Arabidopsis thaliana: one gene and its partner. The protein of the gene in region 1 binds, or shares a complex with, the protein of each later gene. Each region holds a gene or a part of one and is shown on either strand. Other genes may lie near its edges.

Evidence for each region.
Region 2: AT3G48080 (region 1) and PAD4 share a complex: the UniProt entries of both Arabidopsis thaliana proteins name them as parts of the nuclear complex.

The regions. Positions count from the first base shown.
Region 1 is NC_003074.8:17,746,488-17,763,113, reverse strand, and holds AT3G48080 (alpha/beta-Hydrolases superfamily protein), read left to right. Parts: upstream 1-7,923; 5' UTR 7,924-7,968; coding exon 7,969-8,286; intron 8,287-8,366; coding exon 8,367-9,119; intron 9,120-9,191; coding exon 9,192-10,010; 3' UTR 10,011-10,651; downstream 10,652-16,626. Other genes in the region: EDD1 (glycine-tRNA ligase), read right to left, coding at 1-3; RR5 (response regulator 5), read left to right, coding at 2,374-2,524, 2,628-2,707, 2,802-2,879, 3,007-3,077, 3,828-4,002; EDS1 (alpha/beta-Hydrolases superfamily protein), read left to right, coding at 5,422-5,739, 5,816-6,547, 6,644-6,724, 6,821-7,561; AT3G48070 (RING/U-box superfamily protein), read right to left, coding at 10,817-10,916, 11,143-11,953, 12,023-12,089, 12,162-12,236; AT3G48060 (BAH and TFIIS domain-containing protein), read left to right, coding at 14,742-14,879, 15,092-15,466, 15,555-16,626.
Region 2 is NC_003074.8:19,423,149-19,440,526, reverse strand, and holds PAD4 (alpha/beta-Hydrolases superfamily protein), read right to left. Parts: upstream 9,433-17,378; 5' UTR 8,962-9,432; coding exon 8,671-8,961; intron 7,570-8,670; coding exon 6,235-7,569; 3' UTR 6,077-6,234; downstream 1-6,076. Other genes in the region: AT3G52440 (Dof-type zinc finger DNA-binding family protein), read right to left, coding at 4,337-5,137; OEP7 (outer envelope membrane protein 7), read right to left, coding at 10,558-10,752; SYP122 (syntaxin of plants 122), read left to right, coding at 13,495-14,065, 14,238-14,692; AT3G52390 (TatD related DNase), read left to right, coding at 15,344-15,369, 15,491-15,516, 15,614-15,714, 15,802-15,859, 15,939-15,982, 16,086-16,166, 16,278-16,348, 16,432-16,542 and 4 more.

The DNA of each region.
Region 1 (16,626 bases):
CATGAGTGTGACCAGACTCTTTGTAGAAGAGAGTCAATGTGTAGTGCTCGATTTTTGGAAGACGAGAGAGATAGAGAGAGGTTTTGTGTTATCCTTTCTTCCTTTTTTCTTTTCTCTCTCTCGAGTTCGCGGTTCGACCTAAACTATATGATTTTTTCAAAAGAAAACACCATTTAGTCTAAAATGTATTTGACAAAAAAAAAAGTCTAAAATGTAAATTCACTAAGCAACAAAAACAAAATTGTAAGCTGTAATAATCTTGTACATTTATAGATAATTATTAAATAATTTCAGATATATAATCAATGAATGATGAATAACAATTGAATATAAGTAATTCAGTTACTCACGATTATTTATAGAATAGGAGAATTCATAAAATAAATCGAGTATTTGTAATCCATAACTTAAAATTTCTATATCAAAAGATTACGTACGTAGAGAAATCAAAATTTGGACCCCGAATATAATTTTGAATAATCATATATTAGCTTATTGATTCTCATTTTATAACATTTTCCTTTGTCATATAGTGAAATTGAGACACACACAAAGAAAAGATTTTTTTTTTTAAGTATAATACAAGAACATTTTTATTTAGACCATGCTAACATCTTCCCAATTTTATCAGATGTCCCAAAAGAACCTAATACAACAACATGCATGTACCAATTCATATCACATAGACAGTTAACACGAAAGTTCGTTGGTTTTTGTAAGGAAACCAATAAAGCATATTTGTCTTCAGCCTCTCATACTATTTGAGAGGTAAAAACCGAGACCATTAGGATTATTCTTTATAGAATGTTTTGGTGCCTAACAAATTTTACTGGCATTTCTTTTTTTTGCCATAAACTGTTAAGAGGTTTATTTATGAATTGTTAACTTAATTTCTTTGATCAAACAATAGTAAGTTCTATAAATGTATCTTGTGATCTTTGACTATGATAGACACTAAGCTCGGACTCATGTACATAGCCAAAACACTCATATATATTAAAACAATAATTTCATCGGTAAACTCATGTTGTTTCCAAATATACAAGTAGAGAAAACGTGTAGACTTACTCTGAAGGGACACGCATATACATACTGATAAACAACCATCATGGAGAAATCCGAGCCGTTTCTCTGCAAGCCAAACCAAATTTGACATATATAGTAAGGTCATGTGCTCTATACACCTAGTACCTCACATTCATTTGATATCTCCTCTAGAGATACATCGATCATAGTCATATTTTCAGCTTTCAATGATGATTTAGTCATTACCATTCTTGAAATATATTGGTCGAGTTTAGTCCATAGATCTTCGATCCTGTCGTGACAAAGCCTTCCATCAATTGTCAAAAGATCTCTCACGTGTGGAAATACTCGATGCGTGTTGCTAAATATGTGAATAAAAGAACGCCAAATTTATAGAAAAAGCGAATTAAAATTCAAGTAAACATATGAATATTTTTCAAGAAAAGTGAATTGAAATTTTATTTTCATGAAAACTTACTATTTTTTTTTTTTTTTTTGAACACTCATGAAAACTTACTATTAACTCATCAATCTTATGCCATTCGACCACGATCGATAGTAGAGGCAACTATTATGGTACAGTTACGAGATGGACAAACAACAATAACTTGAAAAATAATGATTTTTTGTTTTGTTTCTAGAAATATACACATACGGATCTTGAATTTATCTGATTGCGCAACTAGAGATATCAACATTGAAATTCATTCGCCCAAATAGTCAATCTGGCGGTCACATGTCAGCTAACTTTTCCAACAATGTTCATTAATTAATTAACAATCTCAAAGATTTTGTAGATTGAAATACAAATCTTCTCTCTGTGGTACATTTCTTGAAAAATGGGAAAATCAAGAAAGTATCGAAAATGTACAAAAATAAAAAGAAATGAATCAAAGTAGCCATGATCTTGACAACAATAATCGAGAGAGATCGTCATGATACGATTTCCCTCATCCAAAATTGATTTTATTTCCCTTCCCAAATCAAACATATCATATGATTTCACCACTCACCATTACTTGACTATTCTCAACAAAAAAAATATTAAAAAACTTTATGACTTTGATTTTATTTTTATTTGAAGTTTAGCCAAAATTTGAAAATATGACTTTTGAGAAGAAAACAGAATAAACAAATAATTAGCCACGCGCTATCAGACAGACAAAATCCCACAGATATGCAAAGATCTCTCAGAATCCTCTCCCCATATCATATTTTTCTCTTTTCCCTCTCCTTCTTTCTTCCTTTATAAATCCATTTATTCTCCTCTCATCTCTCAGCAAAATCAAATCCTCATAGTTGATTCTCTCTATCTCTCTCACGAGTCACGATCCTACTCTTCTTGATATGGCTGAGGTTTTGCGTCCCGAGATGTTAGATATCTCTAACGACACTTCTTCATTAGCATCACCGAAACTTCTTCATGTTCTTGCTGTTGATGATAGTATGGTTGATCGGAAGTTCATCGAGCGGTTACTCAGAGTCTCATCTTGTAAAGGTAACTGTTGTGTTTGTGTTTATCAAAAAAAAGTGTTGTGTTTGTTTATCTTGTGTAATCTGTTTAAGTACAAGAATCTGACATTAGTTTTGTTCTGTCTCAGTTACTGTTGTCGATAGTGCGACAAGAGCTTTACAATATCTTGGATTAGATGGAGAGAATAATAGTTCGGTTGGATTTGAGGTAATAAATCTGATCATTGTGTTTAATATTTTTGAGAGTGAGAATCCATTCAAATTTGGTGTTAAAAGATTTTTGGTTTGAAATTATATTTTAGGATCTGAAGATTAATTTGATAATGACGGATTACTCTATGCCTGGGATGACTGGATATGAACTACTGAAGAAGATCAAAGTAAGTTTTGTTGATGATTCAATTGTTTTCACAAAATTAAAATGAAGTTCTGATTTGACGAAAAAAAATTTAAAAAAAAATGAAGTTTTGATCTAATCTTGTTTATGGATTTTGAACTTTTTAACAGGAATCATCAGCTTTCAGAGAAATACCAGTTGTGATTATGTCTTCAGAGAACATCTTGCCTCGTATCGATAGGTATATTCTACTATAATAATCTTAACTATGATCCTTAATTCTTGTTTAGGTCAAGATTATGTAGGACCAAAATTTACCAAATATAGTAGATTTTGTGCATTTATTACTTCAGGAGATGGGGATGATTAGATTTAGAGGGTATTGTTTGTTTAGGAAACTTTTTAAAGTAATCACACTAATTTAGGATTTGTGATAAAGTTACCGTTAAAGGATATGTATTGACTAAATTAAATTGTTGTATAATCACAAGATTTTGTTATGATAGAAAAGGTTATTATATGATTACTTTTTAACTATCATGGGGTTAACTTTGGTGGTGGTTGTATATTTGATCAAGCTGAGATTTGGTGTTTATTTTAGTGGGTCCTAAAATGATTTTTAAAATGGATCTTAGGAATAATAAAATTTATCTTGTGGCCATAAATTTAGAAAAGAATAATCCATCATAAGTTAAGCAAGATCTTCTCTTGAGATTTGATTCTATATAAGCCGGTGACATGTTAGGCCCTCCAAAACTTTATAATATATGTTTTAATTGTTTGGGTTGCATAATCTTAGGTAGGGTCATTTATAAAATCCCAATCCTCGTGATAGACACCTCACATGCCTTTGCTTATTACTAAGGAACCAAACCCTCTTTACCAGATTAAGTTTAATGATTATCATATATGAGCTGGCCATTTTCTGTATCCAAAGTTATAAACTTTATGGAATTAGATCACTAACATTTGGTTCCTTATATTTATTCAGATGTCTTGAAGAAGGAGCTGAAGATTTCTTATTGAAGCCTGTGAAATTAGCTGATGTGAAGAGATTAAGAGATTCTTTAATGAAAGCTGAGGAAAGAGCTTTTAAGAATATTATGCACAAGAGAGAGCTTGAAGCTAATGATATCTACTCGCAGCTAAAACGCGCAAAGATCTGAGTTTATCAGATTCCACGTACGATATGTTCTTTAAAAGCTCAAAGATTCACACACATGCATGTCCTGATTCTTTCGGCTTACAATTTTTGAGACATTACGGCTTCTTTTGCTGATAGAACCAAGACTGATCAAGAGTGACAAAGATGGGTTTTTATAAGATAGAAATGTAAATTGTAGACTTGGATTCATTAGAGAGGAGAAGAGATACATTTTTTTTTTCTTTACATGAGAGATATGTAAAATGGTGGTGTGTTATTTTGGAAGTTAACATATGAATTTCTTTTGTTAAGATTACTTAAATAATGATTTAGGAATGGATTAGTAGTTTAGTACCGTTCATTACACGAAGACAAGCTAATCTTTTGTCTAATTAAAATAAAGCTGTCTACATGAATCGAATCCAGCGAGATAAGTTAGTTATTTTAAGCGTTGGTTGGAACACTTTACATGGCTTTTCGTAGAAATTTCCCCAAGTTGGGTTTTATTAAGACCAAGAAAATTCTAGTCTCCTAGACTTTTTTTTGTTTCTTTTGTTAATTTAGTCTCCTAGGCTTTTTCATTCTATCTGAAAGCAAAATATGGTTATGCAATTTGGTTTAGCCAAAAAAACAAACTAAATTTTTCTAGTCCGGTTCATGTAACTTCATAATCAAACAAGTAAAAGTCGAATGTGACGCGTCTTGCCGAACGCAAAAACGGACCAGGCAAGAAGGTGTAGTTAGTTAATTCGGTTAATATTCAGCTGAGAGAAATCGAACCGGTTCCATATCTTGTAGATTATCCGGTTTACTTTCCGGATAAGATTTATAAGCAAAACAGAGTTAAAGTAGTAGATTTCTTCTATACGAGACCAAATCTGAAAACCCAAGTCAAGCTACAAAAACTTAACTCCAAGCGAACAAATCTCCTCATTCATTAAACAACAAAATTGTTTTCCGACAAAAAAGTGAATATCATTGAGTTACTGCGAAATCCCAACCGAGAGTGACATCTCAAACCAAAAGATGGAGTCTATATTAAAGAGACGAAGACTCCAAAGTCAAGCTACAAAATTTCCAAGCAAAGATTACACAGAGAAAACTTTCCGACCAAATGTGAATGTTTATGAAAGTTTCTGCGAAACTCCAGTCATGTCGGATGTACAAAGCCATACACCAATGTAAAACCGACACGTGGAAAGCTAAGATTCCTAGCTTTTCTTTCTTCATGAGTCTCCAATAGCCAAAGAGTCAACTCCAAAAAAAAAAACCCATTTTTGCATTGAAATGGTCTCATGATGGGGTATTTTGGGTAACTAATTAGTCCTGTCTACATCTTCCCATAAATTAACAGAGTAGGAGCGGATTAAAGAAGCAAGACGATTCAAAAGAAAAAAGAGAGAAGAAAGTCCACTAAAGAAAAGAGAATAGATATAGATCAATGGCGTTTGAAGCTCTTACCGGAATCAATGGTGATCTAATCACCAGATCATGGTCAGCCTCGAAGCAAGCTTACCTAACCGAGCGCTATCACAAGGAAGAAGCAGGAGCAGTCGTAATCTTCGCTTTCCAACCATCTTTCTCAGAGAAAGATTTCTTCGATCCGGACAATAAATCTTCCTTTGGAGAAATCAAGTTGAACCGTGTTCAGTTTCCTTGTATGAGGAAAATCGGTAAAGGTGATGTAGCTACTGTTAACGAAGCTTTCCTCAAGAATCTTGAAGCTATCATTGATCCAAGAACCTCATTTCAAGCTTCTGTAAGAAGATTGAAAACATCCGAATATATTTTTCTTTTTTTTTCTTTTTTGGTCTCTTATGCTTTTACTTCTTCAGGTGGAAATGGCTGTGAGGAGTAGAAAACAGATAGTGTTCACAGGACATTCCTCAGGAGGTGCAACTGCAATCTTAGCAACAGTTTGGTATTTGGAGAAATACTTCATACGCAATCCAAATGTTTACCTTGAGCCTCGTTGTGTGACATTTGGAGCTCCTTTGGTTGGTGACTCTATCTTCAGTCACGCACTTGGGAGAGAAAAATGGAGCCGGTTCTTTGTGAACTTTGTCTCAAGATTCGATATTGTCCCTCGGATTATGCTTGCTCGAAAGGCGTCTGTAGAGGAAACTTTGCCTCATGTTCTTGCCCAATTGGATCCCAGAAAGTCTTCCGTCCAAGAGAGTGAACAGAGAATAACAGAGTTTTACACAAGGGTGATGCGAGACACATCAACTGTTGCAAACCAAGCTGTTTGTGAATTGACTGGAAGCGCAGAGGCGTTTTTAGAGACCCTTTCTAGTTTCCTTGAGCTAAGTCCTTATAGACCCGCCGGTACTTTTGTTTTCTCTACAGAGAAGAGATTGGTTGCAGTGAACAACTCGGACGCCATTCTTCAAATGCTGTTTTACACTTCTCAAGCCAGCGATGAACAAGAATGGTCTCTAATTCCATTTCGAAGTATCAGAGATCATCATAGCTATGAGGAACTGGTACAGTCGATGGGAAAGAAGTTGTTTAATCATTTGGATGGAGAAAACTCAATAGAGTCTACGCTCAATGACCTTGGAGTGGTAAGTCTCTCTCTCTCTCTCTTTTCATACTGTGCAGCTCCATAGCTCCATTCTTGCAATCATTTAAACCCTTCAGAGTGTTTCCTTTTTCTGCAGAGCACAAGAGGCAGACAGTACGTTCAAGCTGCATTAGAGGAAGAGAAGAAACGAGTAGAGAATCAGAAGAAGATTATTCAGGTTTGTGGTTGATAAGCTTGTTCATGAATAATGCAGGTACGTGCTTCGTCTGTTTGTGTCTAACAACATAAAACTTGTTGGTTCTGTGGTTTTTAGGTGATCGAGCAAGAGAGGTTTTTAAAGAAACTAGCATGGATAGAAGATGAATACAAGCCAAAGTGTCAAGCCCATAAAAATGGGTATTATGATTCCTTCAAAGTTTCAAATGAAGAGAATGACTTCAAAGCAAACGTCAAGAGAGCTGAGTTAGCCGGTGTTTTTGACGAGGTGCTTGGTTTAATGAAGAAATGTCAACTTCCAGATGAGTTCGAAGGGGACATAGATTGGATCAAGTTAGCAACTCGATACCGCAGATTAGTTGAGCCTCTTGATATTGCAAACTACCATCGACATTTAAAGAACGAAGACACAGGGCCGTACATGAAAAGAGGAAGACCAACCCGCTACATATATGCTCAGAGAGGCTACGAACATTATATACTGAAGCCAAACGGAATGATTGCAGAAGATGTATTTTGGAACAAGGTAAATGGTCTTAACTTAGGGTTACAGCTAGAAGAAATTCAAGAGACTCTAAAGAATTCGGGATCCGAGTGCGGATCATGCTTTTGGGCTGAGGTTGAAGAACTCAAAGGAAAGCCATACGAGGAAGTTGAGGTAAGAGTTAAGACATTAGAAGGGATGCTTGGAGAATGGATCACAGACGGGGAGGTAGATGATAAGGAAATATTTCTGGAGGGTTCAACGTTTAGAAAGTGGTGGATTACGCTTCCCAAAAATCACAAATCGCATTCTCCTCTGCGAGACTATATGATGGATGAAATAACAGATACCTGAACCTTAGGTGGTGGAGTATTTAAGCTATTAGAACACTTGCTTCTCTTAATTTGTGCAATAAGAAATGTTTATCAATCTGGTTTCCACTTCATGATGATCTTAGAATAAGAAACATGTTGTATGATCATTGTGAAGTAATGTAATAGCTCTCTATTCTAATGTCAAATTTGGTTTCCACTTTACAGTGATCTTAGAATATATACGTTACTCTACTAAAGCCTAAAGCCATCTCAAATAGCATGAACCAGTAACAAACAACCTTCCTTAGATTGAAATGGTCTCATGATGGGGTATTTTGGGTAATTACTCCTGTCTACATCTTCCTACTATATTAACAGAGTAGGAGGACTAAGAATCAAGACGACTCAAAAGAAAAAAGAGAAGAAAGTCCACTCAAGAAAAGAGAAATGGCGTTTGAAGCTCTTACGGGAGTCAACGGTGATCTAGTCACCATATCATGGATGGCGTCGAAGGGAGCTAACCAAACGGAGCACTATCTCAAAGAAGAAGTAGGAGGAACCGTTTTTTTCGCCTTCCGAGCATCTTTCTCGTCGGAAGATTTGTTCGCTACGGAGAATACATCTCCCTTTGGAGAAATAAAGATGAAGCGTAATCAATTTCCTTGTATGAGAAGCATCGGCAACGACGTTGACACTACTGTTAACGAAGCTTTCCTCAAGTCACTTGAAGTTCTCATTGGTCCAAGAACCTCATTTCATGCTTCTGTAAGTAAACAAAAGCTTCTTAAATGCGTTTTAAATCGAAAACATCAGAATAATTTGTGTCTGAAACTTACTTTCTTCAGGTGCAAAGCGCGGTTGATAGAAAACAACAGGTTGTGTTCACAGGACATTCTTTCGGAGGCGCAACTGCAATTCTAGCAACAGTTTGGTATTTGGAGACATACTTCATACGTGACGCCTATGCTGCCCCTGAGCCTCGTTGTGTGACATTTGGAGCTCCTTTGGTTGGTGACTATATCTTTAAACACGCGCTTGGGAGAGAGAATTGGAGCCGGTTTTTCGTAAACTTTGTTACAAGATTCGATATTGTCCCTCGGATTATGCTTGCTCGGAAGACAACGATAGAGCAAACCCTGTCTTACGTTCTTGGCAAATTGGATTCTACAAGAGCTCCGATCCATGAGAGCGACCAGGTGATAACAGAATTTTACACAAGGGTGATGCGAGACACATATACTGTTGCTTCCAAAGCTGTCTGTCAGTTGATTGGAAACGGAGAAGCGTTTTTAGAAACTCTTTCTAGTTTTTATGAGCTAAGTCCTTATAGACCAGTAGGCACTTTTGTCTTCTCTACACAGAAAAGATTGGTTGTAGTGAACAACTCAGACGCCATTCTTCAAATGTTGTTTTACACTTGTCAGTCCAACGACGAACAAGAATTGTCTGTGATTCCATTTCTAAGCATTAGAGATCACCATGGCTATGAGGAACTGGTACAATCCATTGGTATTAAGTTGCTTAATCATTTGGATCTGCATAATCCGCTTTTGGATGGAGAAAACTCAATAGGCTCCGCTCTCGACGACCTTGGAATGGTAAATCTTTTTCTCTTTTCAATTTGTGCAGCTTCATTAGCTCCATCCTTATTTATGTTTCCTTTTTTGCAGAGCACAAGAGCCAGACAGTGTATTCATGCTGCATTAGAGGCTGAGAAGCAACGAGTGGAAAATCAGAAGAAGATAGAAACCAAAAGAGATCAAATAGTAGAAAGACTAACTTGGATAGTGGAAGTATACAAGCCAAAGTGTCAAGCTCATAAAAATGGGTATTACGATTCCTTCAAAGATTCAAATGAAGAGAATGACTTCAAAGCAAACGTCAAGAGAGTGGAGTTAGCCGGTATTTTCGACGAGGTGCTTGGTTTAGTGAAGAAAGGTCAGCTTCCAGATGGATTCGAGGGGAGCAGAGGCTGGATCAATTTAGCAACTCAATACCGCAGATTAATTGAACCTCTTGATATTTCAAACTACCATGGGCAGTTAAAGAACGAAGACACAGGGCCGTACATGTTACATGGAAGACCAAGCCGCTACAAATACGCTCAGAGAGGGTACGAACATGATATATTAAAGCCAACTGGAATGATCGCAAAAGATGTGTTTTGGAGCAAGGTAAATGGTCTTAACTTAGGATTACAGCAAGACATTCAAGAGATCTTAAAGAATTCGGGATCCGAGTGCGGTTCATGCTTTTGGGCTGAGGTCGAAGAACTCAAGGGAAAGCCATATGAGGAAGTTCAGGTAAGATTCAAGACACTAGAAGGGTTGCTTGAAGGATGGATCAAAGACGGGGAAGTAGATGAGAAGGAAATATTTCTGGAGGGTTCAACATTTAGAAAGTGGTGGAATACACTTCCTGACAGTCACAAAATACATGCTCCGCTGTATCCACGTGAGCGTATGATGGATGAAACAAGAGCTACCTGAACCTTAAATGGTTCGATTATTGAAACACTTGCTTCTTAATTTGTGCAATAAGAAATGTTTATCAATCTGGTTTCCACTTCACGATGATCTTAGAATAAGAATCATGTTGTATGATCATTGTGAAGTAATGTAATAGCTCTCTATTCTAATGTCAAATTTGGTTTCCACTTTACAATGATCTTAGAATAAATACATTATTCTAAAGCCTAAAGCCATCTCGAATAGCATGAACCAGTAACAAACAATCTTCCTTAGTGTTGACAGAAGGAAAGAGGACCAGAATGTCATCAGAATAGAGCCTGAGGTTACTTCAATTGTTTATAACATTACTAACCTCTATACCTCAAAACAAGTGGCTGTGCAAACGCTCCAAGTTCTAGCTACTACATAACCAAAGAAGAAAACGATTAAAACACAAAATTTGAAACTTGCCCTATGCCCCTCTGTATGCTAGTTAGCTCGATATGAAAGTTTGACTCAAGTATGTCTCCTAAACACAAGTAAATAAAAGAGTAATCACATTACCAAGACGTTCCTGTTAGATTTGCGTTCCACCAGAATCCTGCATCAGTATAATCAACTCAAGGATGCATACCATATAGCTAAGGAGGAAGTAGATCATTCACAAAAGAATCAGACAATAGAAGTAATCTTCAACTCTTTCGCGCGAATGTCAATTTTATATATAACCAAACTTGACTGTCTATATGCTGTATTTAGTCGCTCAACATAGAATCAAGTAGAATGATATAACATCTATGGCCACCTTAAAATAACAGACGACATAAAATGATACCTTTAGAGTATTACAGATAAGCAAGGTTCTCGCAGGCTATGAGAAAGAGACTTATTGCAACTTTTATGTATTTGAAATTCGTGTACCACCTTATGTACTCACACACCACTCTACATAACCACCACCACCACCACCACATGTTTCAGATGAAGAAGAGTCATTGACATAGAAGAACATAGAACATAGTTCTCAGTTGCCAAAAGACAAATCCCTATACCCATATCTAAAGAGTTTTAAAGACAGGTGAAAAACGTAGAACATGCGAGGAAAACAATGAAGAAGAGAGAAAACAAACAGACACAGGCCGAGAAAAGCCACACATCCTTTCTTCATGACCTGCAAAACATGCTAGACGAACGAGCAAGCCGAATAGTCAGACCACCACCTTGAACACTAGCTTCAAACTTGATTGTGTTCCTTTCATAAGGCTTTCTGCAACCAGGACAACGCCCATCTCCATCGCATATCGTCTTGTGGCAGAAAAGGCAAAGCCGGAATCCACAAGGACATGGCAAGAAATTTGAGTCTGTTAAGTCAAGATCTTCGTAGCAAATAGGGCACGAAGATGGCACCACAGTCACAGAACTAAAATGCAAATTCATGACCGGAAAACTACGCTGCTTTTCCAAATTAGGCAGACCCTGAGGACGGAGCTTATCGTCTGGCCTCCACGCCTGGTTACTCTTTTGCTTCCTTCTCTGAGAATCCGCCTTTGCATCCCTTAAAACCACATCAGCTCCACCGATTAAAGCTGATTGCTTGATATCCTCATGCTCTTGGCAAGACTCAGGAGGATTCTCTTTCTCATGCTTTTCATCATCAGCAGCTAAAGCATCAGCAATAGCTTCCCAATCATCCAAACAACCATCATCATCAGCATCTTCCTCCTCTGTTATATTACCAGAGCAAGAGCCACCACTTCCACTGCTACTGCTGCTGCTAAAATTAGGAATTGAATTCATGCCACTAAGAATACTGTTAGGGCTATTAGAAAGTGACTCAATAAAGCTCTCATGACGATGTGTTCCATTGTTATCCTCATCTAAATTCTCCACCGGACGCGGAAGATCTCTCTGATCAGGCTTTTCACTCCCAATTCTTCGATTGGATTCCATTTCCTCCTTATCCCCTTTGTTAATCATCGCAACTAATAACAACAAAAACCCAAATCAATATAAACAAAATCCACATGTAAAGATAGATCATTTAATTTTACCTTGAGAAAGCCATTGTTCACGACGAAGACCTAGCTTGCTCTGTTTCAATTTGGCCGACCTGTTCGTCTGCAAACCCAAAGAGTGAAATCAAATCTTTGAAGAGAGAAATGAGATTTGAGGAAGGATTGAAAACAATACCCTTTTCTTTTTTCCGAAATCCCTGGCGGTTGGAGCTGAAGTAGCAGAAGCGTTGGTGATCGAATCAGAAATCATGGTGGTTGCAGATGATTCCAAAGCAACAACAAAATCAAATACAAATAAATTTCAAAATCACGAAATGAAGATTTCTCAAAAACCCTAATACAGATTTGTTGCGAGAGAGAAGAAGAAGAAGAAACGTGCGATTTTTTATTTTTTTTTGCTTTGTTTGTTGTGTCTGTGAGAGAAAACGAGAGAGAGAGAGATAAAATAAGGGGATAACGGAAACTCCTCGTCTCCGCACAGAACTTTCCTTCTGACTAAAGTACCCTTTCTTTTGACTTTTGCACACGCTCGAATGTAGGGGTGGTTTTGTAATTGTGATGGATCTACACGTGTGAGAAACTTCTGTTCATTTAAAAACGGTGGCGTACGGTGGACTACACGTGAGGATAGTTCATATGATTCACAAATATCAGCGAGCTTCTAGATCAATCAGCTGGGTTTCTTCTGGTTACAGAAAAAATTAAATGATTTAGAAAAACATCAAAACCACAAAGTCAAAGTTGTGTCTCTTTCTTTCAATTTGATGAATCGATCAAACACATTTTTATCTTATATTTTGATGTAACAACAAAACATGAAATTAAACAGGTTAAAATAGCTTATGAAAATTGGTATTAGGGAGCTAGGAAACTGCAGATGAGAGTTGAACAACATTTAGGTAAGTTTTTAACTAAGTCATGATTAGTTTATTGTATTTTGAACATTAACCTGCAAAATTAATTACTACTATAATAAGAAATCTTAGGTAGCAACATGAAAAAAGTAAGAATGCTAATTAACAAATTACATTAAATTTTAGAAAGAAAAAAAATAACATGTTAAACAATATTTTTTATTGCATCAACATAGTTCTAAGTTATGAAATGACATAGGATGATAAAAATCGATTTTAGTGAAATGACATGTAACTTGTAATGGTGAATCAGTTACATGGTTTACCATACTTTAGAGTGTATATAACTTCAATCGATCAGTGAACCATTTAAGATTACGTAAAGATACATCAAGTGCATTAAGAGAGACCAATTGATCTACTCGACACAAACAGAGAGTATAAGCTAGTGTCTAAGATTGACCGATAAATAATAATAATACAAGGATTTGGATTTAATCCTTCAAGCCACTCTAACAATTCCAAAGGCATGAAGACAGATTATCAACATGAAAAGCTGAAACATGTGGAATGTTTTTTAATTCCACAATTGTCCAAAAAAAACAAGCTTTTATGACTTTATTACAAGCTAACACACTGTTCAATATGAAATCAAGAAAAGAATGAAAAAAAACTGAAATTAAAGAATAAATCCTACTCGAAATAGACAAACCAACACGATGGTTCAAAAGAAAAGGTGAAGTTGAGCAGAATCTGACTTAACACAACAAACAAACAAAAACCCACAGAATAATATTCGGGAATCTACCTGAAAAAGAGAGCAAGACACGCATCAATGGAAAAAGACTTTTATGGATCAGAGATACAAACAGAGTTTTGATATGTTATCTCACATCAATTGCAGTTCTTGTGTACAAAAGGTAACGCCACACACACTCTCGATGAAAGAAAGAGATTTCTGAGTAAATGGAATATTAAAAAAAGTATGTTTGTTTGCTGCAATGCAAAAGTCGAGGTTAAATTCAAAAAGCAAACATATACATACACATATGTGTGTTACCTTTTTCCTAGACAACAACTGATCAAATAAATTACTTTATTATTAGTATGAAGTCTGAACTAAGCATTTTCCAAACAGTTTACATTGGCTAATCGATCGAAGTAAACGAACAATGTCCAGTGAGCTTAATTATGCACTAGTGACTAGTGTTATAAACTTCAAAGGGAGTCCAAATTTCAGCTTATAAAACCTCGTACCGAATTATGATTATATTAGCGAAACTGGTTTTGGGTTAAAAACATAACACATGTTTATATAGATAGATATTACATGCTAACAACTCATGATGAGTAGTAATGTGCAATGTTAGAAAGTATGGTTCGTTTTCAGAATCCACCTAACGGTTGGAATAACTCGAAATGTACCCATGAGTTTCCTATCTATATTTAGAACGACATGCATAATCTTGATTGTGACACTCAGTAATATTTCTCTCTAACCCGACCCGACCCGCCCGAACTCTCCCAAGTTACCTTTCCCCTTTTCGACCGTTTCTCTCTCTCTCTCTATTCTCTTCTTCGATTTATTGGTGTTTTGTTCGCTTACGCGATTTCTCGAAGAAAAATTCTCGTATTCCTGGATCGAAACAAGGCTGATTCGGTTACTCGCTGTTGCTGTTGTTGATTTTGGATCTGTGTTTTGTTATCTGCGGATCGGGAAATTGGAAAAAAACCTAGATATTTGAGCCATTTCGTCGCGAAATTAGGTTTTTTTTTTTCACCGGTGGGTTTTTGGATCTAAAGGTATCGAATATTGTCTGGGGAAAAAAGGAATTTTGAGGATTTGTTTGATTTTCGCTGAGGAAATTGATGTTGTTCGAAGGAGAAGATGATAGAAGGCTATGCATGGGAGGGTTTGTGAGCGGAGGCACAAAAGTCGTCGTCGGCACATGTTGATATCTTCCTCTCGTGTAATTGCGACTGTGGAAGGTGGTGGTTCTTCTTGTTTGTCCTTATCTTCATCTACCTCGTTTTCTAAGGTAAGTTCTATTCGATTTCGTTTCGATTTCCTCAGGCGTTTTTTTTTTCTTTCGTGTTTCCTTCTGTTTTGGTGGATGGGTTTGCCCAAAGTTTTGAAATTTCGTCTGGATTTTGTGATTCTATTGGTTGATTCGAGAAAATGAGTTTTTTTTTTTTTTTTTTTGGGTTTGCTCTTCGACTTATAGTTTTGTTTGGTGTTTGCTGTCACTAGCAGGACGGGCGCAAAATTAGTGTTGGTGACTGTGCTCTGTTTAAGCCACCACAGGATTGTCCACCGTTCATTGGGATAATTCGCTTGATCATTGCTGAGGAAGAAGATAAGTTGAAGTTGGGTGTTAATTGGCTTTATCGACCCACTGAATTAAAACTTGGCAAAGGTATCCTTCTAGAGGCTGAGCCGAACGAACTCTTTTATTCCTTTCACGAGGATAATATACCTGCAGCATCTTTACTGCATCCGTGTAAAGTTGCCTTCCTTCCAAGAGGTGTTGAACTGCCATCTGGTATCAGCTCGTTTGTGTGTCGGCGAGTTTACGACGTTACAAACGAGCGCTTATGGTGGCTGACTGATCAAGACTATATTGATGTGAGATTATAACTCATCACCAACTGCCTTCTTCTATTTGGATTTATGGCTTTCTCTGGTAACTAAGGCATTTTTTTCCTCTTTGCAGGATCGACAACTAGAAGTAGACAAGTTATTGTGTAAGACTCGTTCAGAAATGCATACAACATTACAGCAGGGTGGTCGTTCTCCAAAGTCCATGAATAGTCCAACAACATCACAACCGAAAGATGGCATCCAGAACAACAACTCTCTTTTCTCTCAGAGTAAGGGAAGGAAAAGAGAGCGTATGGATCATGGTTCTGAGTCTGTTAAACGGGAACGTTCTAGTCGAGTAGATGACAGTGGTTCCGGTCCCCTCAGAACCGAAAGCGGTTTAACGTCTGAGATTTTAAAATTTACAGAGAAAGGTGGTCTGGTGGATTCTGAAGGAGTTGAAAAATTGGTTCAGCTCATGCTGCCTGAGAGGAATGAAAAGAAAATAGACTTAGTTGGCCGTGCGATTCTTGCAGGGTTTGTAGCAGCGACAAACAGGTTTGATTGCCTTAGTCGTTTTGTCCAGCTCAGGGGATTACCCGTGTTTGATGAGTGGCTGCAGGAAGTTCATAAAGGGAAAGTTGGGGATGGGGGCAGTCCCAAAGACAGTGATAGGCTAGTAGACGATTTCCTCTTAGTCTTACTTCGGGCTCTTGATAAGCTACCGGTGAATCTCAACGCGCTTCAGACTTGTAACATTGGAAAGTCTGTTAATCATCTACGCTCACATAAAAATTCAGAGATTGGGAAAAAAGCAAGGAGCTTGGTTGACACTTGGAAGAAACGAGTTGAGGCAGAAATGGATGCGAAGTCTGGATCCAACCAGGGTGTTTCCTGGCCTGGAAGACTGAGTCATGGGGGAAGGCATTCAGGTGGTTCCGCGGAGGCAAACAAGACATCATCATCACACCTACATGCTTCTAAGTCTGTCTCGGTCAAACAACAGGTGGAAAACAACCTGAAGTGTGTAGCCACGTCGCCAGGCTCCACAAGATCAGCTCCTTCTCCGGGATCAGGTGGTAATGTTTCTAAAGATGGACAGCAGCGAAATGCTGGGGCTGGTGGTGTATCTGAAGTCCTAGCTGCAGTAAAGGATGAGAAAAGTAGCAGCTCCAGTCAGTCGCACAATAATAGTCAGTCTTGCT
Region 2 (17,378 bases), 1.7 Mb from region 1:
ACTTTTAGAGATTTGTATGCGTCATGTGTAACGTTTCTGACCATTTAATTGATGCCAGAATTGTAACATTGCGAATGTAATTATGTATATATATATATATTATGTCGGTACGTTCTACAACTCTAATCCCACTATTGATTTATATATTCCAGTATACATCGACGATATCCACGACGGGCATTCTTTCATTCGAGGATGAGTTTCTGTTTTAAGAAATTCTTAATTAAGATTTGTTTTCTTAATTATTATGTAAACATACCAAAAGTCCTTCATATATATGTGATTTTGTATTCACTTATTGTGATTTTTTAGATCACTCAGTTTAAAATGATTTAGACTAAACGTGGTAAAAACTGTTTACGAAAACTCTTTGCATGCGTTTTAACGATCAATAGACATTTCATTATCGGTAGATCGAAGGCAAAAGATAGATGAATATAGGAATCTAAAGCACGTTATAGCAATATTATATAGCAAGAATCTCTGTATTTATACACCTCGGTTCTAGCAATCAGGGAACATGGTCTTGGGGAGAACATGAGTACAGTGTCGTTTTACCTGAGAAAATTAATTATTACTTTCGGGCTATAAGTCCAATATAAATTCCTAAGGTTTTACATAAATAATCGCTCATGTCAAAGTTAATTTGGATTACACTCGAATTTACTCTTCCAACACTGACTTATGAATTTGTCTTTATATTCTTTTATTAATATAATCAGGTATATCTATACATACTTGATAGTTGATACAGATCAATTTCAGAACATGCAATTCAAAAAATATAAAATAAAATAAAATCGTTTTATCAGAATCGACAAAAATATTTTGGTCGACGTTGATGAATTGATTGTTTTTTTCTTCTATGTTTTTTTTTTAATTATTTTTTTTATCACAAGACTAGATCATAGAATTTACTTCATTGTAACTCCTAACATTTTTATTTTTAACAAAATATTTATATTCTTAACAAAAAAGCATTCAATATAAGTGTAAGAACAACAGCATATGTTAAGATTGAATAAAAGTGTAACACACATGAGCAGTAACATGGGTGGTCCAGTTACAGTGTGTTTTCTAGTTAAAAATCAAATTGTAATCTCCTTTTAGTTATTGAGAATAATTTATGCACCAAAAACATGAAATCCTATTAGCAAAAATTAAGACACCAGCAGCTGAGTATTGACCATCATTCTCACTTTATTTGGCTATATCACATTATATATAGGGACTTGTATAATTTTTTCTAAAAATACTTAATTTTTAGTTGTATATAATAAATGTCATGAATCCAAAGTCAGATCTTACGAGCAACCATGTCGCAATCTAAATAAGAGTTAAAAACTACGAAATTGGCCCAGCCTCGACCACAACTTGCAGTTGTAGTTACAACGTTATGGAGAGAATATCCACAGTTGACAAAACTTTTTGAAATACATGCGCGTGACATATATACTACATCCACAAAAATACATGCGCGTGTATGTAGTAGGTTCACATATAAATGTGAACGTGAAGGACTAGCTAGTGTATAATGTATGGTTATAAGAACTTGTAATTTATAATTCCATTTCATGTAATGTTAAAATGTTCAAGGACGTTAAGTCGACACGAAGACTTGGATTACATGGCGGTGGCTACGTTTGACTCGATCCCCTTTTTTGTTTTTTTTGAAAGCTTATTTTATGTCAAAACTGTAATTTTGAGAATTTTTTAGAAAATTATTTGTTTTGTTTGCTGATATTAATTTAATAATTTAAAATTAATATGAGAATCATACATTAATAAATGTATTGCTCTTGTGGTTTGGAACCGAGAAAATATCTATGATGCGTTAAGAATTTACTTGATATGGTTAATAATTTCATACAATGATAATTTACCAACCGAAAAACCTCATTGCGTAGAATTAGACAAAAAAGAAAGATAGTTTTTTTTTTTTTTGTAAACAGAAAAAAGAAAGATAGTTATAAAGAGTTGTGTAGATACAAAGTTTTCTATATTCTATGATCTTTGAGCCATTACGTACAAGAAAAATAGAAAATACAACTAAACAAAAGTTTCAAAATTTATACTTCTCCCTTCCTAATCCAAGTTTTTCCATACACAAGCTTTCCCAAAAGCTGAAGGTTATACATAAAATTACCGATCCGTTAAGGCTAGCTAATTTCACTCTATAATGTAGGCTAACATTCTGAAAAAAGCAGATAATTATCTCAATTTGATATCTTCAAGTGACAAAACCTTAGAAACAGATATATACACCAAGACAAGACTTTGGTTTGTTAATCTCCAAACCCTAGTTCTACCAAAAAAGCCTTTTAGAACTCTGTTTCAACAACAATGAAATGGCCCATAGCCAAATGATCACCTACTATACGTATTGTTTTTCTGAGATTGTTTTTCAGCTACCCTCAAAAGCATATTACAAATTAAGCCCGAGTATATCTCTCAGTATTCAACCTTCCTTCCTGATACGATTGATACATTAAATCTTCAGTTTTGGTAATCTTCTCTGCTTCTTCATAATTTCATATTCTTCCGATACTCACCTCCACGCTATCTCCATACATTTGATATAAACTTCTCAAGCCAAAGAAAACTTTGATATGCCATGCAATCCTCTTCATGCATGTCTGATCAGTTTTACATTCATGTAACCATGTAGACTATAGGAACACCAGAAACTATTTCTGCTTGAATTACTTTATCAGAGTCTAAGATCAGTGTTTAAGTATCATGTTGTCTATAGAATAGTTCATATTCTCCTCCACCCATTTCAATCTAAACAATTCAAAATTTTATTTAACAAATTTTAAATGCACAACTGTTTTCTTTAGTAATATAATTCTTGGATCAAGCGGAGATGTATGGGGAACGTGTGTGACACGAAGCTCGATGATGAACAACTTTCCAAGTTAACTTCTTTGCCGCCTACCTCTGAACTCAAGTTGCGTAATTTTTTCCATTCTAGCTCACCAAATCTATAGTATTTTCGTTTTTTTCGTTTTTGACAATTTATTATCGTTTAGGTTTCATAATACTCTGACCAAAAAGAAGGCTTCCGTAATGTTTACACAATTAATGAAGTAACTAGATTTTAACCCGCGGTGTACCGCAAGAACAATATATTTTTAAAAGTTAGTATACATAAAAGTTTGTAAATTGTATCTATCTATAAAATATTTTTATTTTATAGTTTACAATTGTTATTAAGTAACGTCCTGCCAAACCCCTCCCGCCAATCCGTCCCGTAAAAAAACCATTTATTTTATTAATATTGATCTTATTTATAATATGTTTATGAATTATTGTCTAAATATTTTGTAATTTTATAGTAAGTAAATGCTATCATATATCTCTGCGATTTGATGATTATAATCGAATTGTTATAGTCATGGAGAAAAGCAATATCAAAAATGATAATTTTGTAGTAATTAAATGATATTAAATATTTTGAAAGTTTTATTTTAGGAACTAATCGTGTAGTTAATGTGGAGAGATTTAGGGAACATTGTTAAATGCCAAATATTTAATTCGAATATTTTTTTTTTAATTATCAAAATCAAACATTAAAATCCAGTGACAGCCATTGTAAATAAGTCTCAATTACAGGATTTATTTCACAAAATGGCTGTAAAAATGTATATGTACATTAGTTGTGTATAAACATTAAAATGCTGTTGAAGTGGCGGTGTTATGGTAGCGAGGGTCTATCTTCGTTCTTGAGAGATGAGTTTTTTGTTTGCCTCTAACAGTTGGCAATATGAATAGGAATACGAGGCTTAAGCTAAGAAAGTGTTCAATTCATAGAGAATTGGATTTCGCATGTAAACGGCCTAAATTGTATTTATAAATCTCTAATAAATAAAAAACAACTCTTGTGATATATCACATTTTTCTTTTTCTTTTCATGTAGAAAGGAGTTGAAAGAAAAGTAGGAACAAATATGCTCTTTCTCTGACACTCCCTTTTTGGAGAAGGATCTACACAGGCCAGAGATACTAACAGGCTCTCACACGTGCAACCGTGATACACGTGCGTCTCACTTTCTCTGAATTGTACAAGTTCAAGTAACGAAGCAAATCTCAATCGAATCCAAAGACAAGGACCTCCACGTGGGATTCTTGAGGAAATCTTCAAAACGACTGAATAACCAAAATAAATAATGATCTGTAGAGTACACATATTATTACCCCTTAAATTTGTACTTAAAATTTATCGACTTTCTTAATTACATGAAATGATCTATAGAATTTCATATAATCGTGTATATCATTCTTTGTATAATAGGTACAATAACACAAATTCATAAATTTATATGCAAATATAAGGATCATCCATCGGCAGTGAAATCAAAAGGGCTCCAACTTCCAAACAAGAGATTGGTGGAATCATTGGATTCGTCAGCGAAATGAACCACCGGTTCGTGTACAGCCTGAACCGGAGTCACGCCAACGTCTACATGGTTATGACCAATCAACAAAGCATCAGACCAAACACCATTAGTGTCTAAAGAGAGAAGCTCTTCACCAGGAAATGGAGGCAAGCCATTATAACCACATTCCTCCACAATGTGTTCCACCGGATTAATATAATGATCATGATGACCATCATTGATGTCCATACTCCATGAAGGGTCCATGGAAGTGCCGGTAGGATTATCTACCAAAAAATCCGTAGTGGCTAAGTCGCAATTTTCTTGTAGTATAGATTCGTCAGGCTTTGGATTCAAGAAATTGGCGTAAACAAGAGCAAGATCGATGCTTGGTGAACCACCACCGGGGTTGCCAGAATTAGCGGTTAGGCTAGTTTTAGTATTGTTACCAGAAGATGATTTGGGGCGGCGGGATTTTCGACAGCCACCGCCTACAGGAACATTGCGGAGGGAACCACCTTTGGTCCAATATCTGCGGCAGCCTTTGCAGAAGTAGCGAGGCTGAGTGAGGCTATAGTTGTTGTAGTAACAGAACTTTGTGTTAGAGGATCCACATCTTGGACAACTCGGCGTGATCTCCGCGTTTGCGTTTGCGTTTGGCCGCCATATAAACGATGATGTCAAGGCCTCTGCTCTCTCCATATCTCTCTCGCTCTTCTTTAGTCTATCGGAATACGAATGTATTATATACGCATGCATGAATGTGTGGGTGAGAGTTTGTGCATGTGGAGAGTTTGAGACGCGTGGAGGCTAGAGAGTGGATGAAGTTTGGGGGAGCAAATGCCTCGTAAGGGTGCACTCACTGTTGCTTCTTGGGGGAGACAGGGTTAAGGGTTTTGAATCTTTGATAGATATTTAAATACTAGTATTTGTTTTTTTTATCATAAGATATGAATAAGAAAATAGATCGTCTTGGAGATTGTTTCGAAGGGAACTAAGAAGCCTATGGCCTCTTTGGAGAGATGGGTTATTGGGTGTACATTGAGCTATTTGTACGGCTTAGTTTATGGATGCTGCACGATTAATATATGTCTTTTAAAATTAATAGAATGTACTTACAATCATATTAAGTAAAATATTCATATCAATAAGTACTAAACCATGAGTTATCTATATTGCAACATTTTCTATTCACATTATATTCGCGAGAGGACGATGAATATTTGGCCAGAGTCGTTAAGAATCAGAACTTGTAGATAACGAATCATAGATAGTCATAATTATATAATAGTATATAGTATGAAAATGGTATGTAAGGTATGCGTAACGATCTGTGAATAGAAACTATAGAACGAGAAGGTGAAACAAGAAGACACAAGTTTTGAAGAACAAGGACTGTCTCTATTTGTCTACTTATTTGACTTGAATTTATTTGATTTATTAACCCACAGAAAAATGGGGATTGGAAAGGAAAATCTGAATGGGATAAAGAGCTTCTTGGATCATGTAAATATTGGCAATCTCCAAGAATTCTATGTAGTAGGTCTTACGTTTTTCTATATATTTGTATTCTAAAATTCCTGAAATTAGATCACCATCACACTACATGTTGGTTTTAGAGTAATAGCTTTACTTCTCACCAAAAAAAAAAAAAAGAGAGCAATAGCTCTACATGAGAAACTCTTTGCACATTGCACAAAAAAAGAAACTCTTGCAAAACTTGTTGAACATTGACGATAAATTTTGTTTTAGAATATATAGTAACATTCATCAGAAAGTCTTGCATAAACATGATGAACAACAATGATACAGATTGTTATATAGCATATCAAACATTCGATTTGCTATTAGTCCTACTAAGTCTCCATTGCGTCACTCTCATCAACAACCATCTCAATTTCATTTTCATAACCCATTTTGCACTTGAACTCTTTCAGATTCGCCTCCCACACACTATAACTCGAGTTCTTCGCTTTAACATCCAAAGAAACCTCCTTCTTCGTCACCAATGTATTCGCATAACTCTCGAATGGAACAATCTTTTCCCGTAACAAAGATCTCCTCTGGGGATCACTACTCTCTTTTCTCGCCTCATCCAACCACTCTTTTGCTTGCTCAAGCTTAGCCCAAAAGCAAGTATCTTGCGTTGTGCTCGCGTATCTGCTTCTCACACACTCCTCAGGCACTTTAACTCCTTTCTGCCATTTATCAATCACCTCATACCTTTTAGGTCTATTCCCCTCCAAGTAATGCCCGCCAGTCTTTATATCTCTGTTTTTGTAGAAATTCGCAATGTCGAGTGGCTCGGCTAAGAGTTGATAAAATTGAGATGCGTAAATCCATTTCTTTCCTAAATGAAAATCAAAAGGTAACTCATTCGTCTCCACCATTTTAATCACTGTGTCCCAAAACTTAGCTAGTCTTATGCGACTCATGTTCACTTTAAAGTCTCTCTTCAACGAATATCGTTTGAAGAAATCGTAGTAACCTAGCTGCTCTTCTGATGCATCGCAACGATCTTTGTACCATTGAATCTCGAGTCTTGCTGGCAAGACACTAGCAAGCTCATTGGCTAACTCAGCTGACCTCAGAATAGGAGCCCGAACAATTCTTGTAGCTGTTTCTATACATTCTTTGACTAAAACGCCACTTGTGTCATCGTTAGAGAAACCTAGAGCTTCAACGGCTAACGCAACACCAGCTTGGTAGCTATTGTCGGGGATACTCCCACCAAGAAAGCTTCTAGATTTAAGAAACATGTGTGAAAGTGTGAACACATAGTGTCCGTACCTCTGATGTTCCTCGGTGTTTTGAGTTGCTGTGGTGTTGAGGATATTAAACATCAGACGAACAGAACCAGCGTTGTCTAGACAGACACCTCCTTTGTCGGAACAGAACAAGTAAGTTCCAAAGGGCCAGAATTGTTCATTGCTGCTTCTAGGAACGAGGTCGTGGATGGAGACCACGTGGCAGAAGTTGTGTGCTAAACGTGATCGTGAAATTGAGGTGGAGAGAGATTGGTTTCCGAGCAGAGGAGAGCCAAAGGTGATACAAAAGACGCGGAATGACGGCGGAGAAGATTGAGATAGAAGCCAAAGTGCGGTGAAAGCGGCCAATGCGCCGCCGGTTGAATGGCCGGTTATCACCACCAGCTTTTTACCTAACAATTCCAATTCCAATCCTTCCTTGATCTGCACGTTAATGCAGTCGACGTTACTGTAAATTGGTTGACTAACAAGAACAAAACTGATTATAGATTACCTTCCTTCTGAGTGTACAATTTCCTCTAATAATGTAAACTGATTTAGAGACTAAATTTGCCAATTACTTGGTTTAACCAAATTTGAATAAAAATCAGTTAAGACACCTCTCTAGACTTACCATTTTTACAACTTATATCTACATTAATGGTCACTTCTTGTTTTTTCTACTCATCAAAACCAATAGGAACTTGTTTTTGTTCAAGATTTTCATATCCTTAGAGACAAAACAAAAACTAAAAGTATTCGACGAAAAAGGGAATAAAATACATGATGGTGACACAATAATCATGGGTTAAAAACTTTTTGAGCGCACATTTATAAACTTCGCCGAGGTGTGTTAAAGCATAAAGCGTAAAGCTACCAATTCCATTAACATTTTTTGTTTTTTTTGGTGTCAAAAATACCAATGACGTTTCACTCACTAATTAGTAAATTTTTTAAATCACTTGGGCGGACGGACGTGATGGCATACAAACCAAACTTTCAATTGACTTGCTTATGATATCCAAAGGTCGCGACAATGACATATTCCAAATGGTGGATTTGGAATAATTGTGTCCACGAATCTTTTTAGAATTTCTTACAAGAAAATAATTTTTATTTATTATCTATTGTCTATTGCCTATTGGGGTAGGTGGTGGTGATAGTTTATAATAATCTTTTAAAAGGACAAAAAAAACCTCCATTTGGATTATAATTCATCAAAATTCAGAGGACAGAGATATTTAAATAAAAAATAGTAATGATCATCAGTTCTACTAAAAAGTACTAAAATACGTAAAAAAAATAGTAACTTTAATAGGTAAAATTCGTTTTCGCAAATCCAAACGAATAAAACTTATGATAGAATTTTGTTTTTTTTTAAAATCCTTTGTGAAATAATTTCCCATATTAGCATTTAATGATTTTTGTATTTTTCTCTCGAGGTATTATTAATTGAAATTCAAATATCCACATGCCTTGAAGATAATAAATAGGTTAAATTGCATCCAATAGAAAGAAAAAAAAACAGAGGAAGAGAAAACAAACCTTTAACTGAAGAAAGAGTTTGAGTATGGCAGCGTCGACCATAGGTAGAGGTTCATCGGAGGATAAGCCGGGGAAAAGAACATCTCCGGTGACTGGCAAGCCCACAAGATTCCCCAACTGAATCATCGATACCGCCGGTATAGCAACGTATGTAATCCCGGCGATGTCATGGATCTTTATACTCCCGTTGCAATTTGCGGTGTTGCATGAACTCCAAGAATCGGTAAATAAAGGAGTCGATATCATTACCGAAGCTTGCAACTCACTCGTCTCGAATCGACAATCGTCCATGATTGGATATCGAGTAGAGAGTTGCAGAACGATGATGTTTATGAAGTTGTAAATATATTACAAGCAAAAAGAAATTATCTATGTATCTTCTTGGCTTGTTCCTATGTAATTTCTTGGTTTTGGTCTTTGCTAAGTCGTCTTCTTCAAAGTCTCTTACTTTAACATCATAATTTAGTAAAATTGTACTGGTTTTATAAAATAATAATAAAGAAATGCTGTGAAAGGTAGGTCCATTCTCATTTTTTAATCATTGTGTGTAGAGGACAAAAAAATATGTAAATATATAGTAGAAGAAAATGCGAATCAAAGCATGTGATCCTATGTAATCGGAATGGTTTAGACTTGAGCATAAATTGACAACTTTTGATATGCAGAAACTTTGGTAAGAGTTTATCTATCTATCTTTCATGGAAATTGCAGAGAAATCAACCTACATTTGACTCAGACATTTTGAAGTTTTTTTGGCTAAGCTTTTAAAAGGAACCAATTACTTTCAGTTTCAGCTTAACATGATATAGTTATACAATTTGGCCCATATAAGTCCTACAAGTTAGACCCACCATGACTTGAGGAGATTTTTAAGTTGTGGTCTACCTCTACTAGAGAGATATAGATACTTGTTAATGAATTTGATAATTTACTGTTTGGAAAGGTTTATATCTAATTTAACAAAAAAACAAAGCATTGAAAGGTCCATGCCATTGTCATCTTTTAATCTCTGTTTGGGATCTTTGTGGAAAAACCTAGAGTACAAAATGGGGCAAATTATCAAAACAAAACAAAAAAGGTTTGAAGAAGAAATATCTGATGATTAGGACTTAAGCATGTATTAGAAAACTCTTGCCTTAACAAACTGATAATGATAAAAGAGATAATCTGAATCCTAAATGTCAATGAAACTATCCAACCGGACAATAATCATTGCAAAGCTACCATCTATAGTAATTTTCATGTAATTTTCTGGTTTTGATATTTTCCTGAATTGGAGTAAATATTCAAATTAAACAATGAACTTCTATAACCAAGTCTCTCCATTAGAGACTAGTAGTACATTTTCTTGGTGTTTTCTCATATGATGAAGTCAGTCGTCGTCCAAAGTTTTCTCAACTAAATGATGTTAAACAATCAATCTGACACATCTTTGTATCACCACATGTTATCGTCTCCCTATACTTATTTAGCTAATCTGCTTTATCTATAAAGCAATCTTGTAATTGTCAAGTTTGATATTTTGCTCTAACATGCTTCTTTTCAAGAGATACGTATAATCGAATCATAACTTAAAACAATTTAAGTACTTATCGGATTCCTAATCTCTTCTTCCACCTTAATAATACAGCTCGAAACTTTATACAAAATACGAAAAACGGTGTAACAAATCATGTATGAATATTGATTAGATTAATGATTCTGTTATGCGATTGAACTACAATAACAGATTCAATATAGCAGACTTTTCCAAAAATTGATGACAAATAAACGATCATGACTCAAAAGAAATTGCTCAAACTGTTATGATTAAGAACACATGGATTCATCAGTTACATGAAATGGATTGAAATCAGTAAATCTCTTTAATCTGATAAAACCCTAATTTTACAAACCCTCTTTGGATGTGGTTGCAGTAGCGGCGGTGTCGAAGTCATCGGGGTCTTTGGTTGGGTCAGATTTGTCGATTGAGGAGCGGAATTTATCGAGGAAAGGCTTGAAAGCGATCTCTATGGCTAACCATCCTAACGCCATCGCTGCGACCACCACAGTCGCCTGTTTCGCTCCCGAAGTTTTTCCCATCGCTGCGTCGTCGTCTTGTTCGCGTGTCGGTGGTATCAACCGATGGTTTAAGATCGGGAGATGGGTTTTACTAGGATGTTTAAAATGGGCCGGTTTGGGCTTCTCATTGGATAAAGATAGTTTGTTTGTTAAACTATGGCCCAACTTTTTATCCGTCTATTGGTTAATTAATACAAACTTTTTATATAATTGTAAATATAATTGAAAGGATCCCTATTTTATTTTCTTGGGAATATATATATGGAAAAAAACAATCAATAGAATTAGATAAATAGTTCAATATATCAACAATTTCTTTTTTGTTAGGATAAGGAACTTTTACCTTTTTTCTAATATAGTTACAAATTGTGTTTTTTTTTTTCTTAATTTATTATCAAATTTCTTTTTTACTTATATATAACCTCCTTTTTCATATAGAGTTATTAACTTTTTCATTTTCTCAGTAAATGTATTAACAAATTTAGACTTAATACATGAAGACATCTAATATTTTTATTGATATGTGTCGTGAACTCGTGACATGTTAGTTAGTAATTTTTATAAAAAAAATTTAGATAGGTTAAAATTATTTGATATGTGTAGGGGTGTCAATGGGTCAAAATTTATTGGTCAACTCAACTCAACCCATAAACCCTAATGAGTTGAAAATTTTGACTCAAATGAGTTGATGGGTCAAATGAGTTGATGAGTCAATTGGTTTGATGAGTAAAATGAGTTGGGTTGTAATGATTAATGGTTTCAATGGTTTACCCAATTAACCCATCAAGTTTTGTAAAATTGAATTAAACCAACTAAAATTTCTAAATCAATGTCAATTTAAGTCTAACCAACACATCTAAACCAATTTAATAAAATTAATATTTTTCCAAATTTCTTAAATATACATGCGATGAAATTGAGAAAAAGTAAACTCGTAAATTTTCCACCAAAAAACATAAACCCGTGATTTTCCCGCCAAAAACGTAAATCCGTGATTTTCTCGCCAAAAACGTAAACCCGTGATTTTTCCGCCAAAAACGTAAACCCCTGATTTTTCCGCCAAAAACGTAAACCAGAGATTTTCCCGCCAAAAACGTAAATCCATAATTTCCCGCCAAAAACGGAAACCCGTAATTTTTCCGCCAAAAACGTAAACCCATAATTTTTTTCCAAAAACGTAAACCCGTGATTTTCCCACCAAAAACGTAAACCCGTGATTTTCCCGCCAAAAACGTAAACCCGAGATTTTTCCGCCAAAAACATAAACCCGTGGTTTTCCCGCCAAAAACGTAAACTCGTAATTTTGACGCTAAAAACGTAAACTCGTAATTTTCTCGCCAAAAAACGTAAACTCGTAATTTTTCCACCAAAAACGTAAACCCGTGATTTTCCCACCAAAAACGTAAACCCGTGATTTTCCCACCAAAAACGTAAACCCGTGATTTTCCCACCAAAAACGTAAACCCAAGATTTTCCCATAAAAAACGTAAACCCATAAAAAGTAGAATCCGTAAATATCCTAAGTTTGATGATAATGAATTAATAATGATAATTATTTATTATTATTTTATAATAGTAATTAAGTAAATTATTAATTAAATGGGTTAACCCATTTAACAACTCAACCCATCAAATTAAATGAGTTATGAGTTGACCCAACCCATTTAACAAAATGAGTTGAGTTAACACATAACTCATTTAACTCTAAACTCATTTGATTATGAGTTGGGTTGAGTTGGGTTACCCATTTTGACACCTCTAAATATGTGTCTCTAGCCTCTACTATTTTTAAAAACTAAATTTTATATAATAAATTTTTTTATCTTAATAATAACCAAGTTGAACATATTTTAGTTCTAAAATTAACTACTCGGTTTAATATTAAACTTTAGACCAGGACATGCCGGATAACATGGTCTTAGTGTTGTCGTACGTCACCATTAGAGTTTCAATTTGCATAATACAAGGTGGTTGACCCAATAAAAGAAATTTGATTCAATTTCGATATAAACAGGTTTGTTTTGGTTCAGTTTTACCTATTACTTTTTATTTTGTCCAATCCCAAAACTATTATTTCAAAGACAAATTGGAGAAGAAACAAAAAAAAACTAATGGTTGGACAAAAGATTATTATATATCAATTTCACCACAAAAAACTTAGCATTAAAATATTCGAAATGGACAGCGACGAATTCAAACCTTCGTGTTAATTGTCTCCGGCGACTATGAATTCTAAAATCTTCCACTTTGCCTAAAATATCAATACATCACATTCATCCTAGCCTTATCCACTCTTTCTTGGAAATTCTGGTCTGGTTTCCCTTCAGCAATTCAATTAACTTCATCAAACCGACCGGTTCAAACAATCATCTAGAAATTCTATTTTATTGTTAGACTAGATCATGAAATTTTGACCGAGTCAGCACACATAAAATCTGGTACTTGACGTGGTTTAGTTAACCCAACAAAGTTGTTTTGGTTAAACGGATTTATTGACAAACGTGTTTCGGTTCACTCACTAAAAAACCCGGTTAGGTAGATACTACTTCATTGACAACAAACGAAGCATCCTTTAATTTCAAAACCGCGTTTTAATCAGACTTTTCCTTTTTTATTTTCAGTTCTAATGTTTAAAACTTTCCTTTTCTTTTTCTCCATATTTGACTCGTCAATATAAATACAATTGTAACAAACAGATTTTGATCAAAAGATTTTACTTTTCTCAATTCCTTTCAACTTTCAAAATCGAAGATCTCTTAAGCCATGAACGATCTTCTCTCCGGCTCGTTTAAAACCTCCGTCGCGGACGGTTCATCGCCGCCGCACTCACACAACATCGAGATGTCAAAAGCGAAAGTCTCCGGCGGAAGTTGCCACGGTGGTAACAACCTAGACACGTTCTTCCTCGACGTGGAGGTTGTAAACGAAGACCTTAAAGAGCTAGATCGTCTCTGTCACAACCTCCGATCGAGCAACGAACAGAGCAAGACGCTTCATAACGCTAACGCGGTGAAGGAGCTGAAGAAGAAGATGGACGCTGACGTCACTGCTGCGCTTAAGACGGCGAGGCGCTTGAAAGGAAACCTCGAGGCTTTAGATCGGGCTAATGAAGTCAACCGAAGTTTACCGGAAAGTGGACCGGGTTCGTCGTCGGACCGGCAAAGAACTTCGGTGGTTAACGGGTTGAGGAAGAAGCTGAAGGATGAGATGGAAAAATTTAGTCGAGTGAGAGAAACGATCACGAATGAGTACAAAGAGACGGTTGGGAGAATGTGCTTCACCGTCACCGGCGAATATCCCGACGAAGCTACCCTCGAGCGTCTCATCTCCACAGGTAATAATTTTTTCCAATTCTTTCTTAACAATTTTTTTGGTCAATTTCAAAATTCAAATTCTAAACGTTAAAGAGCAAGAAAATAGCGCAAGTTGTTAAACCTTTTTAAGAAATTGTTAGTTTATAATTTGGTTAAATCATGATATTGATATAAATTGGAATTATATTGTAGGTGAAAGTGAAACATTTTTGCAGAAAGCGATTCAAGAACAAGGTCGTGGTAGGATTTTGGACACTATTAACGAGATACAGGAGAGGCACGACGCAGTGAAAGATATTGAGAAGAGTTTGAATGAGTTGCACCAAGTGTTTCTTGATATGGCTGTGTTGGTTGAGCATCAGGGTGCACAGCTTGATGACATTGAAGGCAACGTCAAACGAGCTAACTCGCTTGTTCGGTCTGGTGCGGACCGGCTTGTTAAGGCACGGTTTTATCAGAAGAACACACGGAAGTGGACTTGCTTTGCCATTTTGCTATTGCTCATTATTGTGGTTTTAATTGTGGTGTTTACTGTTAAGCCTTGGGAGAGTAATGGTGGGGGAGGTGGAGGTGCACCTCGTCAAGCTACTCCGGTTCAAGCTCAGCCACCGCCACCTCCGGCTGTGAATCGGCGGCTACTACGCTAAATAATTTTTTTTTTGAGGTTCCCTCTGTCTATGCATGAGCATATCTATGTTTTGAAGATTGTTTTTTATTTTACAGTATTTTGTCTTTAATGTTTTTGTAATGTTTTGGTTGGTTAAACTCTGTGTATATATAATGCGATCACCACATTTCTTTGTTTTATTATGGAACGATTTGCTTATTTTTTACAATCGACTTAAGTTAATTTGACCGTCTATGATATTATTATTCGGAGAGATCTATCAAAATCGATGGTCAAAATGAATTTCCAGAGAATATGGAAATTAAAAAAATTGAAATATATATCAAATATTATCATACTTAAGTATAGATTATTTACAGTTATCTCTATAGTATTATTTACATTTATATTTATTTTAAATTATGAAACTTAGATTAATTTGTTCTCTATATAAATAATTTAGACAATTATTCTTATGGGAGTCTTTTTTTTTTTTTCACTGAAATGTTGCCTTTCATTGATACCAAATTCTTATGGGAGTCTAACAGTAATTATTCATAAATACTTTTATCTTCGTACTCCCATAATTTATCGAACCATATTGGGCCGTGGGAAAAGCCGATTAGTCATACAAAGCGTAAGAAAAAAAAAAGTTTCATTGTGTTGTGCCATTGTTTCACTTTCTCTCGCAATGGCGTCATTGAAGATGATAGGCAAGTCAAAATTAGGAATCACTCAAAATAAATTTCTTCGATTGATTCTCTTTTTTCTAATGTACAAGATTCTGTGTAACTCAACTGTTGTTTCTTTTGCTTTTCTTTTGATGTGTTTGTGTAAGATCAGACATAGCCGTTAACTTCACAGGTTAGTTGAGGCATTTCCACAAACACTTTGTGAACATGTCCTTCTCTGATCAATTTATTGCACAGACCATATTAATTCTTTAGTCTAATTGAAACAGATGGGATGTTCAAAGGACTTTACCATGGCAAGAACTGTCATGTTCCGGATATTGCCACTGTCTTGAACCGGGCTTGGTCTGCTGGAGTCGATAGAATCATAGTTGAGTCACTCCTTATTGATTCTTTTTGTTTGAATGATTACAAGTGATAGACTTTGAGTAATTCAGATTCCAATTTTCCTGAATAGGTAACTGGTGGGTCATTGGAAGAATCAAGAGAAGCTCTTGCAATTGCAGAGACTGATGGTTTGTTTGTTTTATAGATCTTTTTTTCAGAAAGTTTTTAGTCTTTTAGAAGTTTTTGATTGATGTACATTTTTTGCAGGTAGGCTGTTTTGCACTGTTGGTGTTCATCCAACTAGATGCAATGTCAGTTTTTTTGCTTTACATACTCGAGAGTTTCTTGAAATCTAAATTATAATCTTCTGTTTGGATTGTTCTTTAATGTTATGTTTTGTTGTTTATCCATTAGGAGTTTGAAGAGAGTGGTGATCCGGAGAAGCATTACCAGGCTCTTTTTTCATTAGCCAAAGAAGGAATGCAGAAAGGGAAGGTGCTATTTCTTCTGCTCTAGTAGATACTTTGAATTGCTTTAGTATCGCTTTCGTGTTGATCGTAATCAAAACCATTCACTGAACACTCTTGTACTTTATGATCGATTTAGGTGGTAGCAATTGGTGAATGTGGATTGGATTATGACAGGCTTCAATTTTGCTCAGTTGATATCCAGAAGAAGTAAGTTTGATCATAAAAAGTTTCATGTTTACATTGTTTTCTTCTATTTGAAATATCTTCCTATGTTTTCTTTGTTGAGAAAGGTATTTTGAGAAGCAATTTGAACTAGCATATGCTACAAAGTTGCCAATGTTCCTACACATGCGAGCAGCTGCTGAAGATTTCTGTGAAATTGTTGAGAGAAACAAGAATAGGTGAACATGCAGGCTAATGATTTTTCGAGTTGTGTTTAGATAAACTTCCTGGATTGATTTTTTAGTCATCTTAATCCCATGATTCACTTTCAGGTTCACTGGAGGAGTTGCTCATTCATTTACTGGTAGTGCGTCGGACCGCGATAAGCTTCTCTCTTTCGATAAAATGTACCTTGGTAAAGACTTCCACTTTTTTTCTATTAGAGACTATGCCTGTAGGCTTTAACTCGCCTAGGCGTTTGTAGGATCAGATTTGGTCAGAATATCTTGAATTACTGTTCTGGTCTTTTGTTTTGCTGATGTGTATTCTATCTGCAGGTGTGAACGGGTGCTCGTTGAAAACAGCTGAGAATCTTGAGGTAATGAAAGGAATACCAGTAGAGAGAATGATGATCGAAACCGACTCTCCATATTGTGATATCAAGAACACACACGCCGGAATCAAGTTTGTAAAGTCGACTTGGCCTTCCAAGAAAAAAGAGAAGTATGATCAAGAGTCCCTTGTCAAAGGCCGTAATGAGCCTTGTTTAGTCAGGTGAGTGTAGCTTCTAGATTAAAATCTTGTCAAATCCATAAGCATATACAGTCTTCGAACAATTCTTAGGCAATCATTTTCTTCTCCAGGCAAGTCCTTGAAGTGGTGGCTGGCTACAAAGGACTTGGCGATCTAAATCAAGTTAGCTCAACCTTGTACCACAACACTTGCAGGCATGTTTTCTCTTTTTCGGTTTCACATAATTTCATGACAGAAATATGAAGAACTGTTCTAACGTAAAACGTTGTCTTGATGGCTTGTCAATATTTCTGCAGGGTCTTCTTCCCTCAGGACTTAGATT